Canis lupus familiaris: one gene and its partners. The protein of the gene in region 3 interacts with the protein of the main gene of each other region in a pairwise test. Links are inferred from orthologs where the notes say so. Each region holds a gene or a part of one and is shown on either strand. Other genes may lie near its edges.

Region 1 (3,500 bases), on a different chromosome or scaffold from region 3:
AAAATAACATGTAAAACATACTAACTCTACCAAGATAATAAGATTACATGGATTAGAGAAAAGAATTGTACTACAGAATGATACTTATGATTAATTTATACACAAAATTGGTATTAGGAAAAATCCAGTTTACTTTCTTGGGGTGGATAGTATTTTTCTAAAAAATTCTGCTCAAGTTTATCAAATTAAGTTCCCTGTATTATTGAATTACACTGATATACATTACATGGAATATAAACATAATATACATTATAAAGAAATATAATTGCTATATTAAAAAGGAATACCAATAATAAGTAAAAACCAATATATAGATTGGGGGGTACTTATAAATCAGATTAAAAATTAATAAATCATATTACTTATCCAGCTTTGGGGGAGATATTTTCCTACTTAAACATGAACATTTTTTACATAAAAATGTTCCTCTGGAACACTGGTTTTCAAACTTTGTATTGCAGAATTCCAGTGTTCTGTGAAGGGGTTCTGCAAATATTTTTATTTATTTATATTTTATTATATCAAAACTCCAAGAATTGCAACACACACCACTAAACACACACGTGTTAACTGACATATCACATAACTGATGTTAATTAACATCAATGTGTTAATTTGTGATCTCAAATTTCATGCACCTTAGAACAAAGCTCTTCAACAGACCTATTGAACAATATTCTGAGATTACACAGCAAGCTATTAAACGAGAGCTTTATCTGTAGGAGTCAAGATTTTTCAGTGTTAACTATACTGGAATTAAAATACAAAACTTAAAAAGAAGATTTTTCTCAATATCGTTACAGTGCAACCAAAAGTAGCATAAGGAAGGGATGCCCGGCTGGCGCAATCAGTAGAGCATAGGACACTTGGTCTCAGATCATGTCACGTTTGGCCCCACAATGGGCATGGAGTCTACTTAAAAATAATAGTATAGAGTAAAAAAAAGGTTAGATACTGACATAAGATTACAACTATTAACTATGGCCACGATATAAAACATTTCTGCTCAGCAACATGGTTTTAGGGTCCTCACCATGAGGTGAGGTGAGTGAGTTTGAGTGTGTGTGTGTGTGTGTGTGTGTGTGCACATTGAGTGTAAGTAATTGATAGCAACTTGAATCCAGAAACTAAACTACTAAATTCTTTTAGGATACCTGAGAGATTTGACTCTGGATTTAGACATCTGAGCTAAACTTTGATGGGAGTCATAAGCTTTAGCCCGGATTGTCAGGAGTTTCTGCAATTCTTTCATTCTTTGCTTCTGCTTAGTTAGGATCCGATTTCTCTCTTCTTCCAACATTTTCTTTTCCTCAAGTGATCTCCTGAGGGCAACAAACTAAGGCTTAATTCACTTTAAGCCAGTAAGAATGTTGTTCAGCAAAGATTTAACACAGGAAAATTCAAGCGTTGAAACTAAAGGCAACCTTTTGAGAAGGCTTTGACTTGTGAAATTGGAAATCAACAGGCTGACTAACCTTTTCTATCCCAAAGATTGGAAATGGAAAATATACTCATTTCTTAGAAGTACATCCTCTGGCAAAATGCTCTATATTATCTACCAAAAATATGTTGCCAAATATAATTTCTTCATATTTTCAAATTGACTGACATAAAATCAATATGGCTACAAACACTGTTTTAGCAACCATGGGTCAGCTAGTGCTATATTCTAGTCGTTTACCTTGTGGCTTGTTCTCTCCCTCTGGAAGACACTGTGGGCATTGGAGGGGGGCAGTTACAAGGCACAGGCTTTGCACTTGCACTTCTTCCTGGTGACTTGTTTCTTGGAGACAGAAAAGACCGTGTTTCTTTTGAATGTTCCTCATCTGCTGCAATGTCTGCCAAAATTTTCTCTCTTTTAGTGGATGCAGTGGAGGCTGCGTGAAGATTGGGTGGTTTATGGGAGGTTGGGAGTTTTGAACACTTCTGTTCTGAGAGGTGTTTCTGGTATCCCTCAGGAAGCTTTTCAAAATCAGCAATCTGGCATCTAAACTTGTGTGTACACTTCAGTCTTTCAGGCTGCTCAGGACGCTTGAGCTTCCTTGGAGCACAACTTTTGTGACCTGACCTAGAAGGTAAAGGGGATGGATTCTGCAAGAGCTCTTGGGCTTTCAGCTGTGTCATAATGTCTCTATAGAGCTCCTCTTCTTTTAACTTCTCTTTGGTAGCTGAGCCATAAGTAGATCGAGGCACAGGTCTGGCCTTAAATCGATTTGTTTTCTTTTTAGACTTAAACAAGTCTCTCAGCTTCTTTTCCCGGATTGCTTGCTTCTGTTCCTCTCTTGCAATGAACTTAAATGGCTTTTGTGAGGCCAGAAGAGCTTCTTTGTTCTTTTCCTTCAAACGCTTTCTGCGGTCTTCATTTTGCTTGACTAGGTCATGATAAAGGGGGAAAAAGACAAATGCAGGAACTGGAGTGGCTCGGAATTTTTTCTTACACTCTGATTCTTCTTCTTGTTTTTTGAGCAGTTGGTGTACCATTTCAATATCTGATTTTGATTTCATGTTCTCTTCTTTCTTCCTCTGTTCCCTAATCATCATCTGAAAAGGCTCAGGAACCGTAATCTTTGGCACCCATTCTCTTGGTTTCTTCTTTGTTTTTTCAACGGCTGGGAAGTAAGCATCTTCACACCGAATATAATCTTCAACAGAAAAGTTTGTCCACATGTTGTTGATGAGCTCTTTTGCGTAGCTCATCACTACCCTCTTTTTCTCAGGATACTCTTTTTCTAAGTTGGGCAACTCATCTTCAGAGGAAGACATAATCAAGGAGGAAGACGGCCCTAAATCAGGCTCTGAAGATGTCATTAATGAGATAGGGTGATAAGAGTTCTTTTCTGATTCAGACCTAAATAAGAATAATAATTAAGTTACACTCTCAGTTGCATGTGACCAAATATAAAAATTAAGAACTATAAGATCAAGGTATTATCAGTCAGAAGGCAGGAGCTGGATACATAAAGCTTATAATTATCAACTTTTATTTAGAATAGAGGTAAGAGATCCTCTAATTTAACTCCCTCATTTTACAGGGGAACTGAGACAGCAGTGGCTCCTTGTGGCTAATGTCTATTAAATCCTCCACATATTTCTCAGAGTCACCATCTTAAAACATACATCTAGTCATGTCATTCCCCTTCTTGAAACTCTTCTATGATTTGCCATTGTAACAGAGTCAAGTCTAGATCATAAAGCCCCTTCAAGACTAGCCTCTGGCCACCTTTCCTGTTTCACCTCTAGCCTCTTTCGCCCTCCAGTTACTAATCTTAAGTCATATCCAATCACATGAAGCTCCTCACATATACCATGATCTCTCATACTACCATGCCTCTGCACATGTGGTTTCTGTTGCCTAGAAGCCCACTCCTTGCTTCCTGCATCTGTACAGCTACTCCTCCTTTAATACTGAACTTGGATATGACAGTTCTATAGAAAATTCCTGCCTGTGTCCCTCTACCAACACCATGACATGATCAATTGCTGCTTCTTCTGTCTCCATA
Region 2 (4,021 bases), on a different chromosome or scaffold from region 3:
ATCTTGCCTGGAGAGAGGAGCCAGAACACTAGGAGCAGGTGTTACACACTCTGAGTCAGCCAACTGAATGGGCTGGGGTCCTGAGTGCTGCCCGGGTGCACGACTCACCAAGGCTGGTGTCTGCTTGCTCCAGAGCGGGGTGAGTCTTTAGCAGTGGACACACAGGCCTTACCTGCTGCAAAGCCCAGGTCTAAGCTAGTTTGTGTGAGGCATTCTGGGCTCCTCTATGAGCTAGCGGGCAGTTTGTGAGCAAGCTGCCTGTCCCCATCAATCCTGGGGTATGTCTGGGAAGCCATGAGCTGGGGCTTAGGCAAGGGGGTGGGGAAGACCTTACCACCTTCCTGTCGGCTCCAGGGACTGTGTTCCAGCAGTTCCACCAGGAGGCAGGGCAAGTTGTGGGTACTGAGCATGCAGTTCAAGGTGCTCAAGGAAAGGCTAGGGGTGGTGGTGGAGAGAAGTGAGCGGCGGCTACAGGCCCAGGATCCCAGTCCTCCACTGCAGGTCTTGGGCCTTGCAGGACTGCCCACCTGTCCACACAGTCTGTGATGTAGCGCAGCACTGAGAGGGCCTTCAATGCGATCTCAAACTCCATCAGCTCTGCTTGCTTCTGCAGCTCCTGGGTGGCAGGGGCACATGGTGCTCTAGCTGGGCCACCCCCTGCCTGCTCAGGCCTTGAGAGAGCGTGTTATACCCACTGGCACCTCCAGGGACCCTCAGCCTACCTGAATGGGGGTGCTCTCCTGAGACTCCTCCTCGGGAGGGCTGCCACGGCCACTTCGGGCCACCAACATAGTCAGTTTTCGGTGGCAGTAGTCTACCAGGTCCAAGACAGCGTCCTCTGCTGACTCACACACCTCCTGAGGGACAGGCAGAGGGGAACATTCTGTCTCTGATGCTCTCCCCACACAGACACAACCCCTCTTCCCAGTCAGGCCTTAGCCTGTGGCAACAGCTTGTGGACAGGGCTGATGCCTCACTTTATGGAAGAACACTGTCTCCAGAAGGTTGATGATAGAGGCCTCGTGGTGTACCTGTCAGATAAAGAGAACAGAGCGTGGAGCCACTGAAGGAAGAATCAGATTACCAGCTCTCTTGTCAAATCCAGAGCCCTCTAAAGGCATGAGCAGGGTGTGACCAGGGGCCCAGCTTACCACCATGTATATGGGAAAAGTGTTCTGGGGCTTGAAGTCCTCCAGCTTGCACAGCACAGGGAACACCTTCTGCTTCCACATCTCCACTGCAATCAGCTCCTCCACCAGTGTTGGGATCTTTGAGGGGGAGAGGAAAGGACAGAGATGAAGTAGGCCTACCTTGGCCTTGCCACCCTCCCATCCCTGGCTTGGTCCTGCCTGACTCCTCAAACTCCCCTAGGCTCCTAGATTCTCTCCATAGGTACCTTCCCAAGCTCTCTCCTGCACCTTAGACCTTCATTTCTAGCTGCTCTCAATAACTTTGTGGGGACATTCCCCATGCTTCCTATAACTGGCTCTTGCTTTGTCCCTGGGCTGCCTTGGCCCCCTACACCTCCCCACCCCAACTACACCCTTGTCCCCTCTGTCCTCATCCAGGTGTTCCTCTCAGGCTGGCTCTCCTGTTCATGCCCTCCTTGTCCCTGTCCTCCTGCCTTCCAAGGTTCTCATGTGCCTTGACCTCACCCTTACTCAGGGCCCTGCACAATTTCCTAGTCCTCTCCCACCCTCCAGTAGGGGGCTCCACCTTTTCTTTGCAGAGGAACCCTTTTGTCAAGTGATATCTCAGGTCATTTATTTGAGTCACCTCCTGGCTCATTTTCCAGGTAGGCTCATCCCTGGTTTCTAATTCTTCTCTCAAGTTATGAAGGCTGCCTTCTTCCATGCCAAAGTTCCACCTCCACTTCAGTGAGGGCCCCCTCTGGCCTGACAGTCTATTCAAGGATGTCTTTAGAACGTAGGCTCTCCCCCTACAGCCTGGGCTGCTGTATGATCTACGACTATCTCTCAAATCAACCAACGTCTCACACTTGGCCTAGTGTGCCAGTGTCCTGTCCAAAAGGGATGCAAAATCAAATCTGTAACACACTCCTCTCTTTTCTCTTGGGGAAGACAAGAGTACCATCTAGAGGGAAGTGAAGGCATCCGAGGTGCTCCTGAGAGGTAGAGTGGTGGGGTGAGAGGTGGTAGGAAGGGCAGGAACCCTGCCCGTGACCCCAGCATACCTTCCCATGGGTGACCAGCAGCTCCTGGATGGGCTCACCCTGGCTGGCTGTAGCATCAAGGATAGCCTGCATGTTCAGCTTCTCCAGGTTCTCATGCTGCTGGTTCCACCTGCCCCAGAGAGAGGGGGTGGATGTGTTTTGGGGTGCTACTGAAGCCTAACCTGGGTTTGGGTACTATTGAATTTGGGTATTACTGAACCTAATCAGCCTAACCTGATCCTGAGGGGCCAGAGGGGGCTCAGAGATCTTTGTCTCCTCACTTGGGGATTCCTCCACACTGGGTACCCTCTCCCCCGTGTCAGGCCCATACTCCTCCATTCAAGGACTCTGACTCTGTGACACCGCCCGACCCTTGGATCCAGCTGCCTCACCCTCCGGAGCCCATCTCGCGCAGCGGGAAGCTGCGCAGCCCCCGCACCAGCACGTCAGCCTCCCCCGGCAGCAGCAGCTCCAGGTCGCCCATGTTGTGGCCAGGGCCAGGGAGCCAGAAGGCGGGATTCAGTTGACCCCGGACAGCAGCCGGCGCTGGGGCAGGGGAGCCGAAAGTCTCCGGCTGGGTCCAGGCTGTGGACGCAGCTGTTGCGGAGCGGTTGGGGCGCGTGGGTCCTCGCCGTCATGGAAACGGTTAGCTCGGCGCCTGCGCAGTGCGGCCCGCGCAGGCTCCGGCCCCGCCCCCGGCCCCGGCCGCCTCGCCTTCCCCGCGGCGGGTAAGGAAGCCCCTTGGATCCCAAACTTCTCCCTCACCTCCGACTGCGGCTCGAGGGTCTGCCCTGAGCGACAGACTCCTGTGGCCTAAGCTCCCTCCTCCGACGTCAAGACCAGCTCAGGGACAGGGTCATGCTGCCCCCACCAGCTCTTCCTGTCGCGGCTCCAACTCCGCCGCGCGGATGCCCCTCTCCGTGGCTTTCTCGCTCCACTACGTCTGGCGCCGGGCTCCGCCTGCTGGCTCTACCCCCCCAGGTACTGCGTAGGGGCCACGTCTTTCCATCCCAGTCTAACAGGCTGCCACCACCTCTCGTGAGGAACTAACTGCTGTAATCTTTTTCTGGGTGACTGTATGGCTGCCTCCAGTTCTTGAAATAGTATGTCCAAACCAGCTTACCAGCATCTCTGCAGTATCACTTTTGCCCCTTCGGTACTTCATTTCTTGCCCCTCTCCCCATTGCCTCTTATGTTCCAGCCTTGTGGGCCTCTCTGGAGTTCCTCATACATCCTAAAGCTGTTTTTGCTTTGGGGCTTTTGCACCTGTTACCCCAACCTGGAATACTCTTCCTCCATCAAGCCTCAGTTCAAGTCACCTCAGGGAGGCCTTCCTTGCTTATTTAATCCAGAACAGCTTCAGCTCCCACCCCACCCCATTCTTGATCACAGCTACCTGATTGTTCCTTTCTGGCTGTTTATTTCAGTTCCTAATTAGTGGACACATTTGTCCATAGTTAGTCCTGCCACCAGATGGCGCAGCAGTGGGCCAGGACCACCGCTATTTCACTGCCAGTTCTCAGGTGGCTGGTTCAGAGGCGATACTCAATAAAGGTAGGTTGAAACAGATGCTTTTATTTACAGAACTGAGGGTCACCCCTGAGACAATACGGACTAGTCTACGGGTCTAGCCCTCATGCACCAGACAGCGCTTTGCAGGACGAAAGCAGCCACAGTCGTGTGCCTAGTTTAGCCCCCACCAGCCTCACTTCCAGCAGATGATGATATTGGGGTCATTTTCCAGCCGTTCATCAAGCTCGTGGTAGCTCATGCCTGTTTGGGACAGTGCAGGTGAGATGAGCAGTCTTGCCTTGGCCACCTGCCCTGACCCCACCCCAGCTGCAATGT
Region 3 (3,500 bases):
CCCATTCTTGGAGCTTCAGTATCAAGGACCTGTATGATTCAGGATCTGAAGGAGGGGGAGCTCCCAAGGGAGGACAGGAAAACCCGAGGGTCAAGGTGGTGGAAGCCGTGAAAATCCAGGAGGCCCCACCTTAGTCTACACCAGTCCTCCTGGCACCCCTTTTAATAATCACCCATGCCCCTGTCCCTCAGCCTCCCAGCACCCCTCAGGAGAATGGGGGTTGCTCAGACTCACTTTTCTGCCATCTCATAAAAGATCATCCGGTCAAAGTTGCTGGTGTGCTCCCACTCCTGCACAGCCCTTGGCAGTCCCTCCTCCAGGGTCATAGAAGGCTTCAGCCGGGCCAGGGAGCGAAGCACAGGGCTAAAACCCCCATCAGGTCAGTCACGTTCCACAGTGGACCCCCAATCCACCCGTCCTCACAAACACCTCAACATACCCCACTGTCCCTCAGTAGATCTAAGTTGCCTCCCGATCCTTGTCACGCTCCACGGCTTGTTGGACCTCCAGACCCCCAACCTCCCATCCATCCATCGACCACACTGGACTTTCTTCCTGCTGAAATCTTCAAATCTCACTCAAGATCAGATGACTGAGTCTGCCCACGCCACCCCCAAAGTTTGAAATCAAGCACCCCAGTCCTCACAGTGCCACTCTTGACTAAACATTAGGAAGAATGCACTTGTTAAAGCACTTATTATAATAATATAATATAATAATATAATAAGCGTTAAAGCACTTATTAAAGCAGTGGATTCACGGTAAAGTAGGCTTAACCCTGCCCAAAGGCTCTTACTTTCAAAAAAAAAAAAAAAAAAAAAGGCACTCCCTGACCCAAATGAATGTCTAATGAAAGGATGAAAGGCTGTGTGGTGTTTTTATTTATTGGTGTTTAAGTGTCTTCTTGCCTCTGGGATGCCCTTCACACACAGTCCACTGTCAATACTCCTCAAGCTCTTCGTGATTCATCTTTGCCCTTCTGACCTGCCTGCATCCTCAAGCACATGCCTGGAATCACCTGCTGGAGCATGTTTTAATTAGGAATTCCAGGGCCCCAGGATCTCTGCACGGCGAATTCAACCAGCTTCCCAGGCGACTGTTGCCAAGAATCTGGATCGTACTCTGGAGGAGACCCTACCTGGGGCCCCTGAGTACGGAGGGCATGGAGAGGCCAGGAGGGAGAAATGCAGCCTGCCGGGCTCCACGAGAACCCAGAACCCATCTGGAGAAAGCAGGGAGTGGAAGGTGGTCTACACCCAAGACTCTGGGGGAGCCTTTAGAGGTATTCACTGCAGAGTTGGGGGAGGGGGAGACTCCTCTAGGAGCCCAGAGGCTGAGGAACAGTACACCTGTCTCTCCAGCCCAGTAAAACCTGGTATGTGTTACACAGTGGTCGACATAGGATGCCGGGAGCACCGTGCAGGTGGGGGAGGCAGCAGGTCTGGGTGGGAAGAAGAGAAGCTTCCCCAGACAGCTGGCTAGTTACTCGGCCTTATGAACAACACAGGCAGCCCCTGACCCCGAGGTCCCTTGCTAGGCATCCACTCACAGGCAGCCCTGCCATTTGGGAATTCTTCCCCTTGTCTACATTGCCCGTTTATAACAACAGTACTGATGATAGTAGCTGCCACTCCACGAGGCCCTGTCTGTGCCAGGCGCGCTGCTACAAGTGTCACAGATACTGACTCATTCCATCATCTCAGCAACCCTCTGAGGTAGGTACAACCAGCCCCTTTCCATATGAGAAAACTGGGCTCAGGCCTCAGTGTGGGGCGCTCAGGATCAGCAGTCCCACAAGCAGCGGAGGCTAGGCCAGGGTCCCTAGGCTCCTCTACCACCTGCCTGGAATACCAACTGGAATTCTGAATAAGCTAGGGGGACAGTGGGGGCCAGGGGCAGCACGCCCTGTGCCCAGCCCCACAGCAGCCTCCACTCTCCAGGAAGGGTCAGGGCCCAACACCCATCCTGCTGGTTTGGATGGCTCAGTGTGAGGTCAGACAGTAATAAAATAGATGGGAAGGCCCCCAGATGAGGTGCCAGAGACCTGAGCTCCACTTACGGTTCCTCAGCTTAAAGATAGGAAACCTCTGAGCTCCAGTTTTCTCCTCTACAAATGAGGATTATGTTAAAACGCTTGCCCGCCTGAACTCAGGGCTGTGAGGCTCACTGGAGAGAAGACACCTGCAAGCTTATATAGCCTGGGAAGTGGGTAAACAGGCGCAGCAGCAGCAGCAGCAGCAGCACCTTTATGCTTTCCTGCTCACAGAGTATCTCTAGCACCCTCCTGACCTGCCCTCAAGGACCCCTAAATCACACAATCCCTGCTCCACCCCAAAGCACTCCTTGTTGGGAGTGCTAGCACAATTAACCTCAAATCTCCCCACTTACATAAGAAAGCAGGAAAGGGCTTCTGCATCAGGTCTGTGAGATAGGTGCCTCCGCACCAAGGCTTTGTAGCGCTGCCAGCGACGGAAGTTCTCATAAACACCTTTGGAGGTATAGGAGAGGTCACCCAGTGACGGCTTGGCTTGGGCGGCCGAAGGACCTCCTTCTCTGGTTGCCCCGTGTGGTCCTGGCCAAGCCTGTTCTGGGCGCACGACGGAGGCCAGTTGGGCAGCTGGTGTTGGAGCCTGAGCAGGAAGGCCTGGGAGGCCCTCCGGGCTCACCCCAATGGTTTTGGTGGGCAGAAGGGTCTTCACGTTAGGGGCTGTCACGAATTGACAGGAAGGACCCTCAGGGGGGGCCATCTCAGCGATCCAACTGAGGGCTGGCTGAGTGAGGATGAAACTCTGAGTTTGAGAGGGCTCCACCGGCCCCCCTTCCGTCTTGACTTTGACAACGACTCCAGCCCCAGTGGGCCCAGGGCCCCCATCCCCTGTCACCAACAATGGGCTAGGGAGAGCAGAGAGCACCAGAGGGTTCCCTGCAGAGAATGCTGGAGGCAGGGGGGGCTGTGGAGGCGGCTCCCAGGGGGACTGGTCTGGTGGGCCAGGAGCAGACTGGGGGAAGGGGAGTGCACTGAAAGAACACAGGGCAGCACCGGGTTTCAGGGTCACATCCTGTCCCGGCAGTGGAGGTGCTGTTGAGATGAGAAGAAAAAGAGGGAATGGAGGAGGAGCAGAGGATGCCAGAGGGTGGGTCGTTGGAATCCCACTTAGTCCCTGCACTCAGAGCGCCCGCCCCCAACAGGTGAGGGAAGGGTGTGCTGGGGGACCCTGCAGCGCTGGCAACAGTCCTCTGAAAGGGATGTTGACGTCCCTTACTCCTGGGTGAGAGTGCTTGCCCTAGAGAAGTTGTGCGACCCTTGGGCGCTTGGGCTCACACTCCCTACACACGGCACCCAGCACACAAGTGCTGGGACCCGTCCCGCCCACTCCAAACACGTTCAAACCACCTTAGCCCCGCGCCTGACGGCTCTGAGGTCCCCGCCACGGCTCACACAGGCACTGTTTCCTGGACAGAGTGGGTGGATTAGAAGTTTGGTTTCCAGAAATTTTGTC
Region 4 (4,047 bases), on a different chromosome or scaffold from region 3:
CCGCCGGAGGCCCCGGGCGGAGCAGCCGCGGCCCCCCGACCCCAACCCGCCGCTCACCCCGCGCCCAGTCCGCCATGGCGCCCGCCCCCGGCCCCGTCCCCGGCCCCGCCCCGCCAGCGGCCCAGCCACCGCCTCAGCGGACGTGGCGCAACCGGGGAGGACCGGGACCCCGCCGCTTCCGCTCTGCCCGCCGACTTCCGGCCGACGTCCGGCCGACTTCCGGACTAGGGGGGCGGGCCTTAAGTGCCGAGGACGCGTGACAGACGCCGCCAGCGGCCAATGGCGCGGAGGGCGGGGCCGGGTCCCGCTCCGGGCGTCCCCGCTTTCCCCCGCGGGCCTGGCTGCTGGGGTCGCCGCGGGTCCCCGCCCCAGGCGTTGCCGAGGGGACGCGGTGGAGGCCAGGGCCTGGAAGACGCAAGGGTGACGCACTCCGAAGGGAAGCGAAGCCAGACGGGGGCCGGGAGTGTGGGGGCAGCAGAGGCCGTAGCGGCCGGTGCCTCTTGCCTTGGTCCCGGCGCCGCGGGAACGGAGGCGGCCCACAAAGGCTGGCTGCACGGCGGGCACCGCTGCGACCACACACACGGGAGAGGGAGCTCAGTCCAGGCCACACACCTGGGACGTGGCTGCCGGTGATCCTGACCCTCCCCGCCCTCCCCTGGAGCTCAGGGACATGTTTGCGTCCCCGCCGCGGCCACCGAACGACCTTCCCCCGGATCCCTTCTTATCGTCCGGCCTCAGCAGAAATGCTACTTCCGCACATCCCTTTGCAGCCCACTTTATTCGCCACAGCGCTGAGACCGCTGCCCGTGGCTCCTTGCCCTCACGTGCGAGCTCACGCTCCCAGAGGGCCGGGAACCAGCGGTCGGCGGGTCCCGGGGCCGCAAAGTCCTTCCCACTTCGCTTTTCCCCCGGACTTGCACTGGTGCTAGGCATCTAGGGGGGCGTGCGTGGGAAGGTGAGTGGGTCCCCGTTAGCTTCGGAGGCCGCTCAGCTCCGAGGTCGAAAAATCACCTAGTAGGACCTTTGAAACTCGCGCTCACTCCCCGGCAAAACACTCAAGTCCCAGCCAGCTGATCCAGGTCTCGCCCCCTTAATGAACCTACAGCCCTGGCCCCGCCCCGCGGCGCGCGCTCCCAGTCCCGGCATGCCGCGCGCGCAGCCCTGGCCCCGCCCCGCGCGCTCCCAGTCCCGGCCTGCCCCGCGCGCAGCCCTGGCCCCGCCCCGCCCCGCCCCGCCCCGCGCGCTCCCAGTCCCGGCCTGCCCCGCGCGCCCAGTCGGGGCGGAGCGGCGGAACTCCGCCCGGAGCCGGGAAGCAGCTCCCCTTCCCGCCGGCTCGGCGCGGGATCCCGGAGGCGCCATGGATCCCCGGGTGGTTGCGGATGCCGTGGAAGCGGGCGAGGAGGACGTGATCATGGAGGCTCTGCGCACGTACAACCGGGAGGTGAGCGCGAGCCGTGAACGTGCTTGCACGGAAGAGGTGGGCCGGGCGGGGCTCGCGTGTGCGGACCCGGGCCTGCGGGCTGCGGGCGGCGGGCGGCGGGCGGCGCGCGGCGGAGGGGCCGGGGTCTGCGCGCACCTTGGGGGACGGGGAGAGGCGGGGGGGGTGCGGGCGCCCGCGGCGGCCGAGCCCGCTGAGCCTCCCCGTCTCTGCAGAACTCCCAGAGCTTCACGTTTGACGACGCCCAGCAGGAGGACCGGAAGGTGGGTGCGGACCGAGGGCAGGGGGCGGGGGCGCGTGGCCCCGGGGTAGGGGGCCTGCTGGAGCCGCTCTTCTTCCCGCCCACAGAGGCTGGCGGAGCTGCTGGTCTCGGTCCTGGAGCAGGGCTTGCCACCCCCCCGCCGCGTCACCTGGCTGCAGAGCATCCGCATCCTGTCCAGGGACCGAAGCTGCCTGGACCCTTTCACCAGCCGCCAGAGCCTGCAGGCCCTTGCCTGCTATGCCGGCATCGCCTTGGAGGGGTCTGGCCCGGAGCCTCTGGACATGGACGTTGTCCTCGAGTCCCTGAAGTGCCTGTGCAACCTCGTGCTGAGCAGCCCGGTGGCACAGGTGCTGGCAGCAGAGGCCCGCCTGGTGGTGAGGCTCGCAGAGCGCGTGGGGCTGTATCGCAAGAGTAGCTTTCCACACGACATCCAGTTCTTTGATCTGCGCCTCCTCTTCTTGCTCACGGCACTTCGCACTGACGTTAGGCAGCAGCTGTTTCAGGAATTGCGGGGAGTGCACCTGCTGACTGATGCGCTGGAGCTGACCCTGGGAATGAGCCCTGACGAGAACCCCCCGGAGCTTCTTCCTCCCCAGGAGACCGAGCGGGCCATGGAGATCCTCAAAGTGCTCTTCAATATCACCTTCGACTCCATCAAGAGGGAGGTAGACGAGGTGAGGACTGACTTGAGCCCACAGGTAGGGCTTAACGGTGTGGACACTTGCTGGCTCTGTTTGCCTATAGCGAACTCGTAGGTTCCAGGTATCAGACGGGGAGAGGACGGGAAGAGCTCTCAGCCTATTGGGAGGAGGCAGGGAGCTGTACATCATGTACAGGGGCCTTCAGAGACTGTCTGAGAAAGGCAGAGGGCATACCTGGCACTTGCAGCCTGGTAGGAGGGCTGTTTGGTACATGGAGAGGTCACGAGCAGGACACTAGAGTAGGTTGTGATTTTTATCCCAGGAAGACCTGGTAATGGTCTTGGTTAAGGAAATGCTTTCAAGGCTACGTGGGGGAGGACGAGGGGTTGGGCACACAGTAGAGAAAATGCATAGTCCGTGCATGTGATCCCAGAGTGGGGCCTCCTCTCACAGGAACCCCTTTCTTTTTGGTCAGGAAGATGCGGCCCTTTATCGGCACCTGGGGACCATTCTGCGGCACTGTGTGATGGTCGCTGCTGCTGGAGACCGCACAGAGGAGTTCCACGGGTGAGGGTGGGGCCCGTTCAATGGAAGGGAAGTGTGCTCAGGGGTCTAGACAGTAGTTCTCACCCTGGCTGTCGGCTAGGCTTCCCCCTGGAGAGGCTTCACCTACAGGGGTGGGATTTCCATCAGTGTGTGTCTATGGTAAGGGGCTAGGACAAGAGAAACGAATCCAAGAACGGTATCTGTGTCTGCAGTGGAGTTAGTAGTAACCAACCACGTGGTAGTTAGCGAGTAACTGCTGAGTTCTGTTTCGGCGACTTGTGCCTGGGCAGGTTCTGGCGCTCCAGAGATTGTCCGCGGGGCTTCAACCCAGACGGAGCGTGCCCCCTTTCTTAGGAACTCACCCCACCGACTATGTGGGAACATCTCTAGGGTCAGTCTCACCCTCAGTACCGGCCCCTGGTTCTGGTCATCAAATCCCTAGATGCTAGTTCAAGTCACATGCGGCCTCTTTAGGGGGCAGCAAGGCTTGTACTTATGCTGGGGGGTCGGACCTATCAAGCCCTCCTCCTGATCTGTCCTCAGCCACACAGTGAATCTCCTGGGGAACTTGCCCCTCAAGTGTCTGGACGTCCTCCTTACCCTGGAGCCACACAAAGGCTCCCTGGAGTTCCTGGGAGCGAACATGGATGTGATTCACGTCCTTCTCAGCTTCCTGGAGAAGCGTCTGCACCAGGTGGGCAGAGGGACCTGACCTGTGGGGTCCTCAGTGGCTCTGACTTTCCCAAGCAGCCTTGATCACTGCTTTTTTTACGGTCACACTGGTAAGCAGAGTGTGATTCAGGCCATTTCTCCAGCTGCTTCGTGGTCCAGTTTGGCAGAAAACCAGATTCTACCTCCCTCAGAAACACGTGGCCCCTCTCACACGCACACACTTGAAGGTTTTACCTGTGCTGGTTATCTTGACGGGTTTTCAGAGTCAACAGCGGAGTTTGTGTCTTAGAGCTGTTTGTGGCTGTCTCTAGAATCCTTGCCTGTGCCGTCAGAGCACTAGCATTGCTGTGTGCAGGCAGCCCTCGGGACGAGTGACACTTGTCTCTTGGCATCCCTTGGGGAACCCACCACCACCTCGAGCCAGAGGCTGCCTGGTTCCCATGCCTGCACACAGGACGTTGGCCAGCTAGACCTCCAACCAGCCCCTC
Region 5 (3,500 bases), on a different chromosome or scaffold from region 3:
GAGCCCTGTTAAATTATGCCTTATGCATACAGTGGAACAGTATGCAACCTTGAAAAAAGAATCCGGGGGCGCCTGGGAGGCTCAGTCAGTTAAGCATCTGCCTTCGGCTCAGGTCATGATCTCAGGGTCCTGGGATCAAGTCCTGCGGCAGGCTCCCTGCTCAGCAGTCAGCTTCTCCTTCTCCCTCTGCCCCTCCCCCTGCTCATGTGTTCTCTCTCAAATAAATGAATAAATAAAATCTTAAAAAGAATCAGTATGATATTGATAGAAATATTAAAAATATATAATGTAGAAAAACAAGGTGCATAAAGACATGTAAACAACACCTGTTTGTGTGTAAAAAGGACACTCGTGCTTGTATATGAATATTATAAAGTTTCTGAAGGGAGAAGCCAAGCCTGTTTAGAACACGCACCTCATGGGAGGAAGATGGCAGGGCCTGGGGGACCGGTTATTCTTCACTTTCCATCATTTTGTTTAGTTTTGATTTTATGCTGAACATGAATTTATTGTGTAATTAATTTGAAAGTAGCTCAAGTTTAAAAAGAAGCCATGCCAAAGGAGTTTGGATCCTCTGAGGACAGAACCCGCCATGGATTATACTCAGGTTTCCACCTCCTACATGTAGCTTTACCCATGAGGTCATCTGTTCTAATCCCACCAGCAAAGAACCCACTCAGAGGTAGGAGGTCAGGAGGTTAAGAGGGCTCAGAGGTGAGTTGGGGGAGACCAGGGACTCACCCTGGCCATCAAGCTGACTGGCCTCTCAGCTCAAAGGGATGCTACAAGTTGTCTCCTCTGAATCAGATTTCTATGGATCTAAGTCTTTTTTAGGACATGTATACACAGGGAGTTTCTCACTGCACCTGTAAGACTCAGGTGTCCATTTCTTTTGGTAAGAACTTGATTCTTTAAAATGATTGGGCAATAAAGAAAAAATTGTTTCTCCTTCCCAAAGGAGAAGTAGCTGGTATTCACTACATTTTAAAAATAATCACACTTTCTTATGAAACATTCAAGTACAAATTATTCTAGTATTGGACTTTTCAAGGACTATAATCAGGGCAACCCGGGTGTGATCCTGGAGACCCAGGATCGAGTCCCACATTGGGCTCCCCGCAGGGAGCCTGCTTCTCTCTCTGCCTCTCTCTGTGTCTCATGAATGAATGAATAAAATCTTAAAAAAAAAAAAAAAAGGACTATAATCACATAATCACTGTGCCATGCACAGGGGAGGCACAGGGCAGTCCAGGTAGAAAGAGTGCTCTTACCCAAAGGACCACATGAGAATTCTGTCCTGCTTTCCAGACAGGCACAGGGCATGGCCGTGGTGCCTTCCAGGCCTGGTCTGTAGTAAGGGCTGACTTCTGCCTGCAGGCCCAAAGGCCCAATGAGCACTCACTCTACTAGGAGGGCCCAGCAAGCCCTGGTCTGAAGGAGTGGAAGAGAAAGGAGACAGGGTTGAGGAAGAGGCCTTTAGGGGCCAGAGGGATCAGAGTTCAGATCCAAATGATGACCTCTGAGCCTCACTCCGATCATCTGTAAATGGGCTAATGACATCAACCCTGACAGGTTGATCCAGCATCCGGGGAGCCCCTCAGGAACCAGGAGCTCTGGTTAGTGGTGTAGAGTGAAGAAAAGGGGGAGGCGTGAGAATCAGGCTCTACCTTTCCCCATGACTCGTGTGAACTGCCCGGGTAGATCCCCCTCCGGCAGGGGGGCGACAGCCATCTCCCCATCACAGCTACTCAGCTGGTGTGGCTGCAGCCCACCACTGGCCCCAGCGGAGGTGTTGGCCGTGGCACTGCTGGCCGAGGCACTGTCTTTGCAGTCGGGGCTCTGGCCCTCAGGGCCCATCAGTGAGGGTGGGTGTGGAGCCTGGGGCTCCCGGCGGCGAGCTTCGGGGGTGGTACTTGGGGAGCTGTAGGCCTTGATAGGAGTCAGGATCATCTGGTGCAGTTCCTGGAGTGGTATGCGCAGGTTACCCCCCTCGATGATGTCCTGGATGGTCAGAGGGAGAAGACCTCTGTTAGCATCAGCAATGGGGGTGGCCTCCCCCTTGATGCCTCCCCTCCCCCGCCCCGAGTGGTTCCCAGACAGGACTCCCAGCTGCTGGCCCCTTCATCACAACATTCTTTGGAAATGCAATCACCTTAGTTTTATCATTCTATTAGACCAGGTAGAAAACTTGGAAAATACAAATAGGCACAATGAGGAAAATGTACATCACCTGAAAATCCCACCATCTAGAGGTGATCACTAAAATGATTTTCAGATAAAGGGCTAGTTTCCAAGATCTATAAAGAACTTCTTAAACTCAACACCAAAGAAACAAACAATCCAATCATGAAATGGGCAAAAGACATGAACAGAAATCTCACAGAGGAAGACATAGACATGGCCAACATGCATATGAGAAAATGCTCTGCATCACTTGCCATCAGGGAAATACAAATCAATGAGATCCCACCTCACACCAGTGAGAATGGGGCAAATTAACAAGGCAGGAAACCACAAATGTTGGAGAGGATGCGGAGAAAAGGGAACCCTCTTACACTGTTGGTGGGAATGTGAACTGGTGCAGCCACTCTGGAAAACTGTGTGGAGGTTCCTCAAAGAGTTAAAAATAGATCTGCCCTACGACCCAGCAATTGCACTGTTGGGGATTTACCCCAAAGATACAGATGCAATGAAACGCCAGGACACCTGCACCCAATGTTTATAGCAGCAATGGCCACAATAGCCAAACTGTGGAAGGAGCCTCGGTGTCCATCGAAAGATGAATGGATAAAGAAGATGTGGTCTATGTATACAATGGAATATTACTCAGCCATTAGAAATGACAAATACCCACCATTTGCTTCAACGTGGATGGAACTGGAGGGTATTATGCTGATTGAAGTAAGTCAATTGGAGAAGGACAAACATTATATGGTCTCATTCATTTGGGGAATATAAATAATAGTGAAAGGGAATATAAGGGAAGGGAGAAGAAATGTGTGGGAAATATCAGAAAGGGAGACAGAACTTAAAGACTCCTAACTCTGGGAAACGAACTAGGGGTGGTAGAAGGGGAGGAGGCCGGGGGGGTGGGGGTGAATGGGTAACGGGCACTGAGGGGGGCACTTGACGGGATGAGCACTGGGTATTATTCTGTATGTTGGCATATTGAACACCAATAAAAAATAAATTTATTAAAAAAATAAAAATAAAATGATTTTTTCACATTTCCATCCCTGGCTTCTTCAGTGAGTTTCTATAAAAAAAAAAAAACATTTGGATAGTGTACATGCATACCCCTAAGAAGCTGTATAATAAAGTTGGGTCATATGTAAGTTTCTGTCCTGTGTAGGATTTATTTGTTTTGGATGAAGGAACCTGCTCATTCACACCACCCACCCATTTGGGGTAGTGGTGAAGAATACAGACTTAAGGACAGATGCTGGGGTTCAAATTCAGACACTGCTGTATGACCTTGGGCAAATGACTTAACCTCTCTG
Region 6 (3,500 bases), on a different chromosome or scaffold from region 3:
CTTGCTGAATTTTAACAAGTGCACACAGCAGTGTACTCCATGTCCCTAACAAGATATGGAGAGCACATTTTCAACACCCCAGAAAAATGCCTTTGTCGCCTTCCCCAGCGAATCCCCTCCTTCCAGAAGCAACGACTACTGTGATTTTTTTCACCATTTATTTGTTTGATGGAACAGTTGGCATTTTGAATTCCTGGCCTGCTAAAGTGTGTAGTTGTTCAGGCTGCCTGTTCTCACATTCCTGAACCCCAGGCATGTGATGACACAAACAGAAGTTCTTGGCAGGCTTTAGGGACACTCACCCACGGTTCTGCAAGCCCTCTAATTTTCTGAGCCTCCACGTCATTGACAAAGTCATGGTAGAGAACAACATAGGGTTCCAGGTGGATGACCTCCTTCCGGACGGGCTGGAGCAGCAGGTAGGGGCTTGAATTTGTCTCATAGGAGCAGTAAAGGCTAGGGATCTGGTAGTGAGTAGGCTGGAAGGAAAGCCTAGAATCAGCATAAGAGGTGAATGGTCGAGCAGAAGCCAATGTAGGGAATTACGGCACAAAAAAAAAAAAACAAAAAACTGGCATGCAGGAGATTCAGAATGTGGTCACTCTGATACTATCCAAATAAGCTGTTTTGTTTTGTTTTTTTTTTCTAATGCATCAGCCTTTCCCCCCTCACATCATTCCAATTCTACCTTCTGTTTCTCTAGCTTGTTCCCCCTTTCTCTTTCCCTGAGGAATCCTACCTGGGATCCCAGAGTCTGACATAACCCCTCATAGGTGTCTCTGGTCTGCAGGTGGGGTACGTTGGGCCTCTGGATGACAGCCTCAGCTACCACCTGATTGGGGCTTTCAGCCAAAAGCTTTTCATATTTCAACACATTTCTGGCCATCCTCTTATTATCTGGACCTAGAAGAAATCAGAGCAGGGATAATACAGATTAACAAGCAATGGTTTCAGGGAGGGCTGCCAAGGTTTCCTAAAGCTTCCCTGTCACACATGACCAGCAACTGGACACCCTGAAAAGCTCCTGTGTCCATGCACCGGAGGATATAAGGCCCTCACTCTCAGAAAAGCACCTGGTATTAAAAAAAGATTGAGTTAGGCCCAGTAGATCTGAGGGTACAAAGGACTTTGGGAAGGAAAGTGGTATTTAACACTATTAGAACAGGGATCATGGGGATCCCTGGGTGGCTCAATGATTTAGCACTTGCCTTTGGCCTAGGGTGTGATCCTGAAGTCCCAGGATCAACCTCTGCCTATGCCTCTGCCTCTCTCTCTCTCTGTGTGTCTCTCATGAATAAAGAAATAAATAAAATCTTAAAAAAACAAAACAAAACAAAACAAACAAACAAGGGATCGTAACGATGGCAGTAGGAAAGTATGATGGTAAGTTTTACATAATGGGAAAAAAGCTTTACTCATTCCTTCCTTCATTCATTCACTCATTCATTTACCCATTCAAAAAATCTTCAGTGAACATCTACCATGTACTGGATACTGTGCTAGAGGCTAATCTCTCAGAGTCTAGAGCCTAATAGAGAAAAGCGACATTAAATAACTACTCACAATGAAACCCAAAAATGCCATGAAAAAGAAAAGCAGGCAGACCCAATCTATTCTTCCCTGGAGCAGTGAAAGCTAATCCATTCCCAAATCTAATAGAGCCTTCAAAATTCCTAACTGGCCTACATACAGAACAGAGCAGTATGAGACAAATTGGTTCTAGATTTTGTTTCTAGCTTGGGTTCCCATAGGGGTCTGATGTCTTATTTGTGCCCACCAACTGGTGCCCACTTTGGCTGTTGGACGCCCATGGGCTGGCAGCTACCCATGGCCTGCTAGTCTCTGTGCATGATTTTCAGTGCCTCTCAGGACGTGCTGAATTGTTCTAATGCTCCCAATGCATCTTTCTCTAAGAAGCTCAGTGTGCTTCTAACTACCACCACGACCACTCTGGCGAAAGATAGGACATAAGTTACCCTTTTTTTTTTAACAAGAGGAGAAATGAAGTTTGGGAGAATGGAAATGATGAGCCCAAAACCCCAGTGAAAAGACTGCAAAGCCAGAAATATAACTGGTAATCTCAATTTGCTGTGTCCTACTTCTCCACCTAGAACTGCATAGTTTGAGTTCTCTGGGATGGGCAGATTTTAACAGAGCAAGCATAAAAAATAAAGAAGAGTTGGGTTATCATTTTGCCCGGAGTAATTGCCCGCATGTTTCCAGACCATATAGCTACTTCTGTATGCTGCTTGCCCAACTATCAGAATGGAATAATGTTATTAAATAGATTCATTAAAAAAGCAATCAGATGTAGTGAAACGACAGGACACCTGCACCCCAATGTTCATAGCAGCAATGTCCACAATAGCCAAACTGTGAAAGGAGCCATGATATCCTTTGACAGATGAATGGATAAAGAAGATGTGGTATATATATACACAAAGGAATATTACTTAGCCATCAAAAAGGACAAATACCCACCACTTGCTTCGCCGTGGATGGGACTGGAGGGTATTATGCTGAGTGAAATAAGTCAATCAGAGAAGGGCAATCATCATATGGTTATACTCATATATGGAATATGAGAAATAGAAGAACCATAATGGAAAGGAGGGAAACTGGGTGGGGAAAAATTAGAGAGGAAGACAAACCATGAGAAACTCCTGACTCTGGGAAACAAACAAACGGTTGCAGAAGAGGAGGAGGGTGGGTGGGGGGATGGGGTAACTGGGTGATGGGCATTAAGGCGGGCACTTGGGATGAGCACTGGGTTGTTATACTATATGTTGGCAAATTGAATTTAAATTTTAAAAAAGCAAGCAATACATACAATTATAAAGTCATGTGAAATACTTTATAAATATTAAAATATAATAGTGATTATTTATTTACTTTAGTATCTCAATATCTTATTAAAGGAAAATCTGGGAAGCCAGCTTCCACCAAAATTTTAAGTAAAAATATCCAAGTAAAGAGCTAAGCTTGGAAGTCTCCCTCCCATTGAATTCTGGTGACGCACTGTGTGAGGAGGGTCGAAGCTCAACCCTGCATTCACTGAGCAGGATGCTTGATAGCCAAGTGAGCTCTGGTTTAAAGGGAAGAACTGGTATCTCTGTAGAAACAGCCAAAATAAGTATACCTGTGGAGTCACTCTTCTTGCACACACAGCTCTCATCTACTTTATTCACTTCCAGTCCTGGATTTGTTCCCCCCGAGACAGCACTAATGTATATCCAGCTGGTCGTGGAAGAGGAAAGGGACAGGCTGATACCTTCTTGGCATCATCCCACAAACCAAAACACTTCCCCCGATACACTGATACATAGATAAGTAAGATTCAATCCAAAAGTTAGAAATGCGGCTTGGATTATAAAATTAGAAGAAAAAAAAAAAAAAAAACATAGCTGTCTTATCCCTGCAGAGATTAAAGGCCAGGAGCAGAAGGGATTTCCCAGTAAGTCAAAGCTGTGGCTCATCTTCTGTCATTACGTACTATAGAG
Region 7 (4,223 bases), on a different chromosome or scaffold from region 3:
TTCCATCAGAGTTTCCTCTCCACAGATAACCCCTTTGTTTTTGATAGCACTGGAATAAGAAAATCCTAGTGCTTGTCCTGTTTTTCATCTCAAAAGGCCCAGGGATTTGGACCAGTCTTGTGTTTTCCACTTTTTTCCACTGTGTGGCACTGAGTACATTTAAAAAAAAAAAAAAAAAAGAAGATTTTATTTATTTATTTGAGAGAGAGAGCACAAGCAGAGGGAGCGGCAGGCAGAGAGAGAGAGAGAAGCAGACTCCTCACTGAGCAGGGAGCTCCATGTGTGGCTGGATCCCAGAACCCTGATCACCACTGAGTGGAAGGCGCACATTTAACCGACTGAGCCACCCAGGTGCCCCCACATTTTTAAATAAAGATCTTCTTGCCTGCTTCAGCATCTCCCATCTTGTTCACAGGGTTAGCGGCTCTGCCCACTGCTTGCATGGAGAACACTTAGCAGTCACCCAGGCTGCTGGTGGGCCAGAAAGTGCACTACAAATTTGAGGCTGGTGTTCTCACAGTCGTGCCTCAAAGACCAGTGCTGGATGCCCAGCCAGGCATGTGCTCACGTCTTTTACAACCTAATCTCAGAAGTGACATACTGAGGAGGTGGGGATGGATCACTGAGGTTAACATGGAGTCTAGGTACCACACAAGGCAAAATCCAAGGTCTGAGTATGAAGTTATAACTTGAAACTGCAGTATGTGATGTGAAATAGTATAAGCTAATGTATTTGTACATTCACCAGTCCACGAACTATTCTAAGCACATTACATATATCATCTCATTTAACCTTCACAACAACTTCATGAGGTAGGCGTTGTTATTATCCAGAAGGGAAAACCGAAGTACAGACAGGTTAGTGGCCAAGTGGGAGTACTCTTATAAAGAAAGACTTATCAGCACATGAACTTGAGCGTCGGGGAAGGTCATCCGCTGCAACCAGTGTCCGTTGTAGGAAAATTTTACTGACTGATGAACCACCTGTTAGTTCTTCAACTGCTGGATCCATGAAATGGGAGGATTCATTTTCAGCTGGCCACAGCCGCTACCCAGGGGCAAGAGACAATCCAGCCAAATGCAGTCACAGGCCATTCATTTAATAAGCAGTGGGAACCAAAAGTAAACCAGAAATTCTCCCCTGATGCGATCCCTAGAATGGTTCCTAAATAGGTTCTCAAGGACTTCTCTCTGCCCCCAAGGCTCTTTCTAACTTTGAGTAACTTCTGAGGTCTAGAGAAGTTAGGAAGAAGAAAGTTTCACTTTTGAAGGAAGCCAATCAGACCCCTGAATGTATCAGGTGGGCTGTGGAGAGGACTAGAGAAGGCTCAGTGTTCTTGACTCCTCCCCACCATGCGCAGGGTGGGGTTCCCCAGAGCAGGCTATTTCTCCGCGCACATTCCCAACGCTCCTGCACAATGGAAAACGCCCTGCAACGTTTCTACTCGCTTCTGCCCAACTTTCCTGTACTCCGTCAGCTCCTCCCTTCCGGCACCACCCCAACCTGTTCTTGCTGCTATTCACAAGATTCCTTTACCTTCTTTCCTTTCTCCAGAGTTCTTTCATTTTTCCCTCCGTGTCTGTTGTTTGCAGCCTGCATCTTTCCAGCCTTTCGCCTCCTTGATTCTGCCCTACAAAGCTTTGTGGCCTGTGCTGACAAGTGCCCGAGTGTCTGATAAATGACTTTAATGTCAACAAACGGGGGCGGGGCGGGTAGAGTAAGCTCCGGGAGTCGGGAGGCGACCCGGGAGGTGAGCTGACTCGGCCTGCTGGGGCTGTCCGTGTGACCGAGGCCTCCCGCCTCCGCAGGCCCGGGCTTGCAGGAGCCCTTGAGCCCCGCGGCGGAGCAGGCCCGGGCCGCTGACACCACTGCGTCCCGCGGCCGAGAGGGCGCGGCGGCCTCGGCGGGCTGCAGGTGGGGGGCGGCGGCCTGGCCCCCACACGCGGCAGCTCGGGGCCGGGTGCCCGGGCTGGGGGGTCCCCTGGGGCAGCAGGCCGCGCCGACGCCTGGGCCTGGAGCGCGTCCAGGGGCCCGGGTGGGGCCGCGAGCACCCAGTCAGCCGCTGGGGCACGCGGGCCGCGGGTGGGGCAGCGCGGGCGGGCGGGCGCGCAGGGACACTGTTTGCACAAGCGAGGCCGAGGGTTTGAGCCGCCTTCCCTCCGTCTCGGCCCCGCTGGACGCCGCGTGGCCCGGGGCCACCTGCTGGGGAGCGCGGGCCCCGCCCGGTAGGTGCGGGGGGCGGCGGGGCCAGGGGGCAGAACGCGGGACCGTGCGGGTGGGGGCGCGGGAGGCGCCGGCCCCAGGGGGAAGGCGAGCACTTCTGGGGCACCGGGAGGGGCGCGGGCGCGTCACCAAGCCCAGGCGGCCGGCGGGGGTGGGCGAGCCGGGAGCGCCGGAGCACCCGCGGGGCCTGTGCCTGCCGTGGGTCCGGGCCTCCTCCGCGGCCCGGCACCGCGCTCCCGCCCCCGCCGACGAGCGCCCGCGCCCGCGCCCGCGCGGAACTCCGCCGCCCAGACCTTCCGGGACCGCGGGGCAGCCGGCTCCCCGGGGCCCGCCCGCAGGACGGCAGCCCAGCCTCGGTCCTCCCAGTCGGGTGGGCGCCCTGCCCGCCCCTGCCCGCTCTGGCCCTCGGGTTCGCGGGGGCACCGAGAGCCGCGCGCGCAGGTGCCAGTTTATAGGCTTCCTTAACGGTATCGTTCCCTTCCCAGGGCGCAGGGCGCAGGAGCAAGGGCACCTCTCTCTAATCTTAGTCTCCTCACCTCCTAAAAGGGTTTTTTGTTTGTTTGTTTAAGTAAACACGAGCACCCGCCTGAACTCAGAACAGGGAAATCAAGATTGCGCATGCCCTACCCGCAGAGCCAGCCAGGCCCCCGCCTGAGAGGCTTCGGATTGCGGACGGAATACTAACGACTTGGAGCTTTAGAAAGTGAATAAACACGTGGAAGTCCTATGCAGGCGTAGATTTGGCCCATGAGTGCAATTTCCTAGATAAATCTGTACAGTCGTTTCACATTTCTGAAGAATGGCACATATGTACAAAACTTACCAAATTGCTATCACCTCTGGTAAATCATTTTATCCTCAAAAATAGCCCTTTTGGGGCACCTGGGTGGCTCAGTGGTTGAGTCGGCCTTGGACTTAGGTCCTGATCCCCAATGAGTCCCTCATCCGGCTCCCCACAGGAAGCCTGCTTCTCCCTCTGCCTACGTGTCTCTCTCTCTGTCTCTGTCTCTCATGAATAAACAAATAAAATCTTTAGAAAAAAAATAGCCCTTTTGCAGATAAACTCTATTAAGTGAAGTTGAATAAGATAAATGAAAATCTGAAAATAGCCAGCCATTTTAAAAGAAGTACAATTCAAACTATATTCAAACTATATTCATTTTCTTAAAAGATTGTATTTATTTATTATTTATTTATTTATTTGAGAGCGAGAGAGGCAGTAGGGGGAGGAAAGGGGGGACAGGGACAGACTCCATGGTCAGTGCCAAGCCAAAGGCAGGACTCAATCCCACTACCCTGAGATCCTGACTTGAGCCAAACCAAGAATGGGATGTTTAACTGACTGAACCACACAGGTGCTCTAAATTATATTCTTACCATTAAAGTTTTACTGTCCATATTACATTACTGCTATAATTTAGGCTTTATCTACCTGCCCCCCCCCCCCAAGGTCTTAGAATCATGAGAAACACAATTTTTATTTTGTCGAACAGGGCTATGGATGATGTGAGAGTCAGGCCAAATGTATGTTATCCTGGAAAACAACTGATCCTATCACCCTTTAGAAATTTAGTTTTGGAATAAATAGCAGATTTGGGCTTGTTGCTTGTCATTTCCTTTTTTAAGTAAAGTGCTATATGAGAAGAAAACTGAGTTAGCTTAGCTTTTCTTTTTATTGGATCTTGAATAACTGGAAGTTTGCTGCTCTCAAGTGTGTTAGATGAGGAAAGTCATTCAAAGTTTGAATCAGTGTCAGTGGTTGTCCTTTCAGGGACTGAAAGTGGGAAAAACCCTGGTTAGTTTCCTCATTCCTGTTTCCTCTACCCTACCTCCACTTGTGTCTGTAACTTCACATAGACTATGACATAGTCTTCACATTACAAAGATGTATGGTGCAGTTCCTCATTTCACGAATGGGAAAACAAAGTAGTGAAATGACAGCTGAAGGGCACACAGCTCTTCAGAAGCTCATGCTGGGGTCCTTGCTAGGTGTTCTGTG

Evidence for each region.
Region 1: the proteins of NUTM1 (region 3) and FAM161A interact in binary tests that used the Homo sapiens proteins (3 or more experiments, as listed by UniProt). The two-hybrid records come from large-scale screens. The link is inferred for Canis lupus familiaris from reciprocal best matches to the Homo sapiens genes NUTM1 and FAM161A.
Region 2: the proteins of NUTM1 (region 3) and ZMYND10 interact in binary tests that used the Homo sapiens proteins (3 or more experiments, as listed by UniProt). The two-hybrid records come from large-scale screens. The link is inferred for Canis lupus familiaris from reciprocal best matches to the Homo sapiens genes NUTM1 and ZMYND10.
Region 4: the proteins of NUTM1 (region 3) and RIC8A interact in binary tests that used the Homo sapiens proteins (3 or more experiments, as listed by UniProt). The link is inferred for Canis lupus familiaris from reciprocal best matches to the Homo sapiens genes NUTM1 and RIC8A.
Region 5: the proteins of NUTM1 (region 3) and SAMD4A interact in binary tests that used the Homo sapiens proteins (3 or more experiments, as listed by UniProt). The two-hybrid records come from large-scale screens. The link is inferred for Canis lupus familiaris from reciprocal best matches to the Homo sapiens genes NUTM1 and SAMD4A.
Region 6: the proteins of NUTM1 (region 3) and P4HA3 interact in binary tests that used the Homo sapiens proteins (3 or more experiments, as listed by UniProt). The two-hybrid records come from large-scale screens. The link is inferred for Canis lupus familiaris from reciprocal best matches to the Homo sapiens genes NUTM1 and P4HA3.
Region 7: the proteins of NUTM1 (region 3) and SH2D4A interact in binary tests that used the Homo sapiens proteins (3 or more experiments, as listed by UniProt). The two-hybrid records come from large-scale screens. The link is inferred for Canis lupus familiaris from reciprocal best matches to the Homo sapiens genes NUTM1 and SH2D4A.

Annotation. Positions count from the first base shown.
Region 1 is NC_049231.1:63,114,868-63,118,367, forward strand, and holds part of FAM161A (protein FAM161A), read right to left. Parts: intron 2,849-3,500; coding exon 1,682-2,848; intron 1,323-1,681; coding exon 1,155-1,322; intron 1-1,154. UniProt on the Homo sapiens protein: Involved in ciliogenesis.
Region 2 is NC_049241.1:39,416,503-39,420,523, reverse strand, and holds the start of ZMYND10 (zinc finger MYND domain-containing protein 10), read right to left. Parts: upstream 2,801-4,021; 5' UTR 2,658-2,800; coding exon 2,566-2,657; intron 2,304-2,565; coding exon 2,195-2,303; intron 1,269-2,194; coding exon 1,152-1,268; intron 1,032-1,151; coding exon 978-1,031; intron 858-977; coding exon 723-857; intron 617-722; coding exon 528-616; intron 436-527; coding exon 335-435; intron 8-334; coding exon 1-7. Other genes in the region: GATOR complex protein NPRL2, read right to left, coding at 3,879-3,946. UniProt on the Homo sapiens protein: Plays a role in axonemal structure organization and motility. Involved in axonemal pre-assembly of inner and outer dynein arms (IDA and ODA, respectively) for proper axoneme building for cilia motility.
Region 3 is NC_049251.1:1,030,957-1,034,456, forward strand, and holds part of NUTM1 (NUT family member 1), read right to left. Parts: intron 3,080-3,500; coding exon 2,389-3,079; intron 364-2,388; coding exon 235-363; intron 1-234. UniProt on the Homo sapiens protein: Plays a role in the regulation of proliferation. Regulates TERT expression by modulating SP1 binding to TERT promoter binding sites.
Region 4 is NC_049239.1:25,713,967-25,718,013, forward strand, and holds the start of RIC8A (synembryn-A), read left to right. Parts: upstream 1-1,247; 5' UTR 1,248-1,357; coding exon 1,358-1,441; intron 1,442-1,653; coding exon 1,654-1,701; intron 1,702-1,786; coding exon 1,787-2,374; intron 2,375-2,816; coding exon 2,817-2,908; intron 2,909-3,430; coding exon 3,431-3,581; intron 3,582-4,047. Other genes in the region: BET1L (BET1-like protein), read right to left, coding at 58-76.
Region 5 is NC_049229.1:30,959,994-30,963,493, reverse strand, and holds part of SAMD4A (protein Smaug homolog 1), read right to left. Parts: intron 2,002-3,500; coding exon 1,668-2,001; intron 1-1,667. UniProt on the Homo sapiens protein: Acts as a translational repressor of SRE-containing messengers.
Region 6 is NC_049242.1:24,127,079-24,130,578, reverse strand, and holds part of P4HA3 (prolyl 4-hydroxylase subunit alpha-3), read right to left. Parts: coding exon 3,494-3,500; intron 904-3,493; coding exon 740-903; intron 480-739; coding exon 303-479; intron 1-302. UniProt on the Homo sapiens protein: Catalyzes the post-translational formation of 4-hydroxyproline in -Xaa-Pro-Gly- sequences in collagens and other proteins.
Region 7 is NC_049237.1:22,874,002-22,878,224, forward strand, and holds the start of SH2D4A (SH2 domain-containing protein 4A), read left to right. Parts: upstream 1-1,423; 5' UTR 1,424-1,751; intron 1,752-1,761; exon of another isoform or gene 1,762-1,915; intron 1,916-2,056; coding exon of another isoform or gene 2,057-2,763; intron 2,764-4,223. Other genes in the region: collagen alpha-2(I) chain-like, read right to left, coding at 2,057-2,763. UniProt on the Homo sapiens protein: Inhibits estrogen-induced cell proliferation by competing with PLCG for binding to ESR1, blocking the effect of estrogen on PLCG and repressing estrogen-induced proliferation. May play a role in T-cell development and function.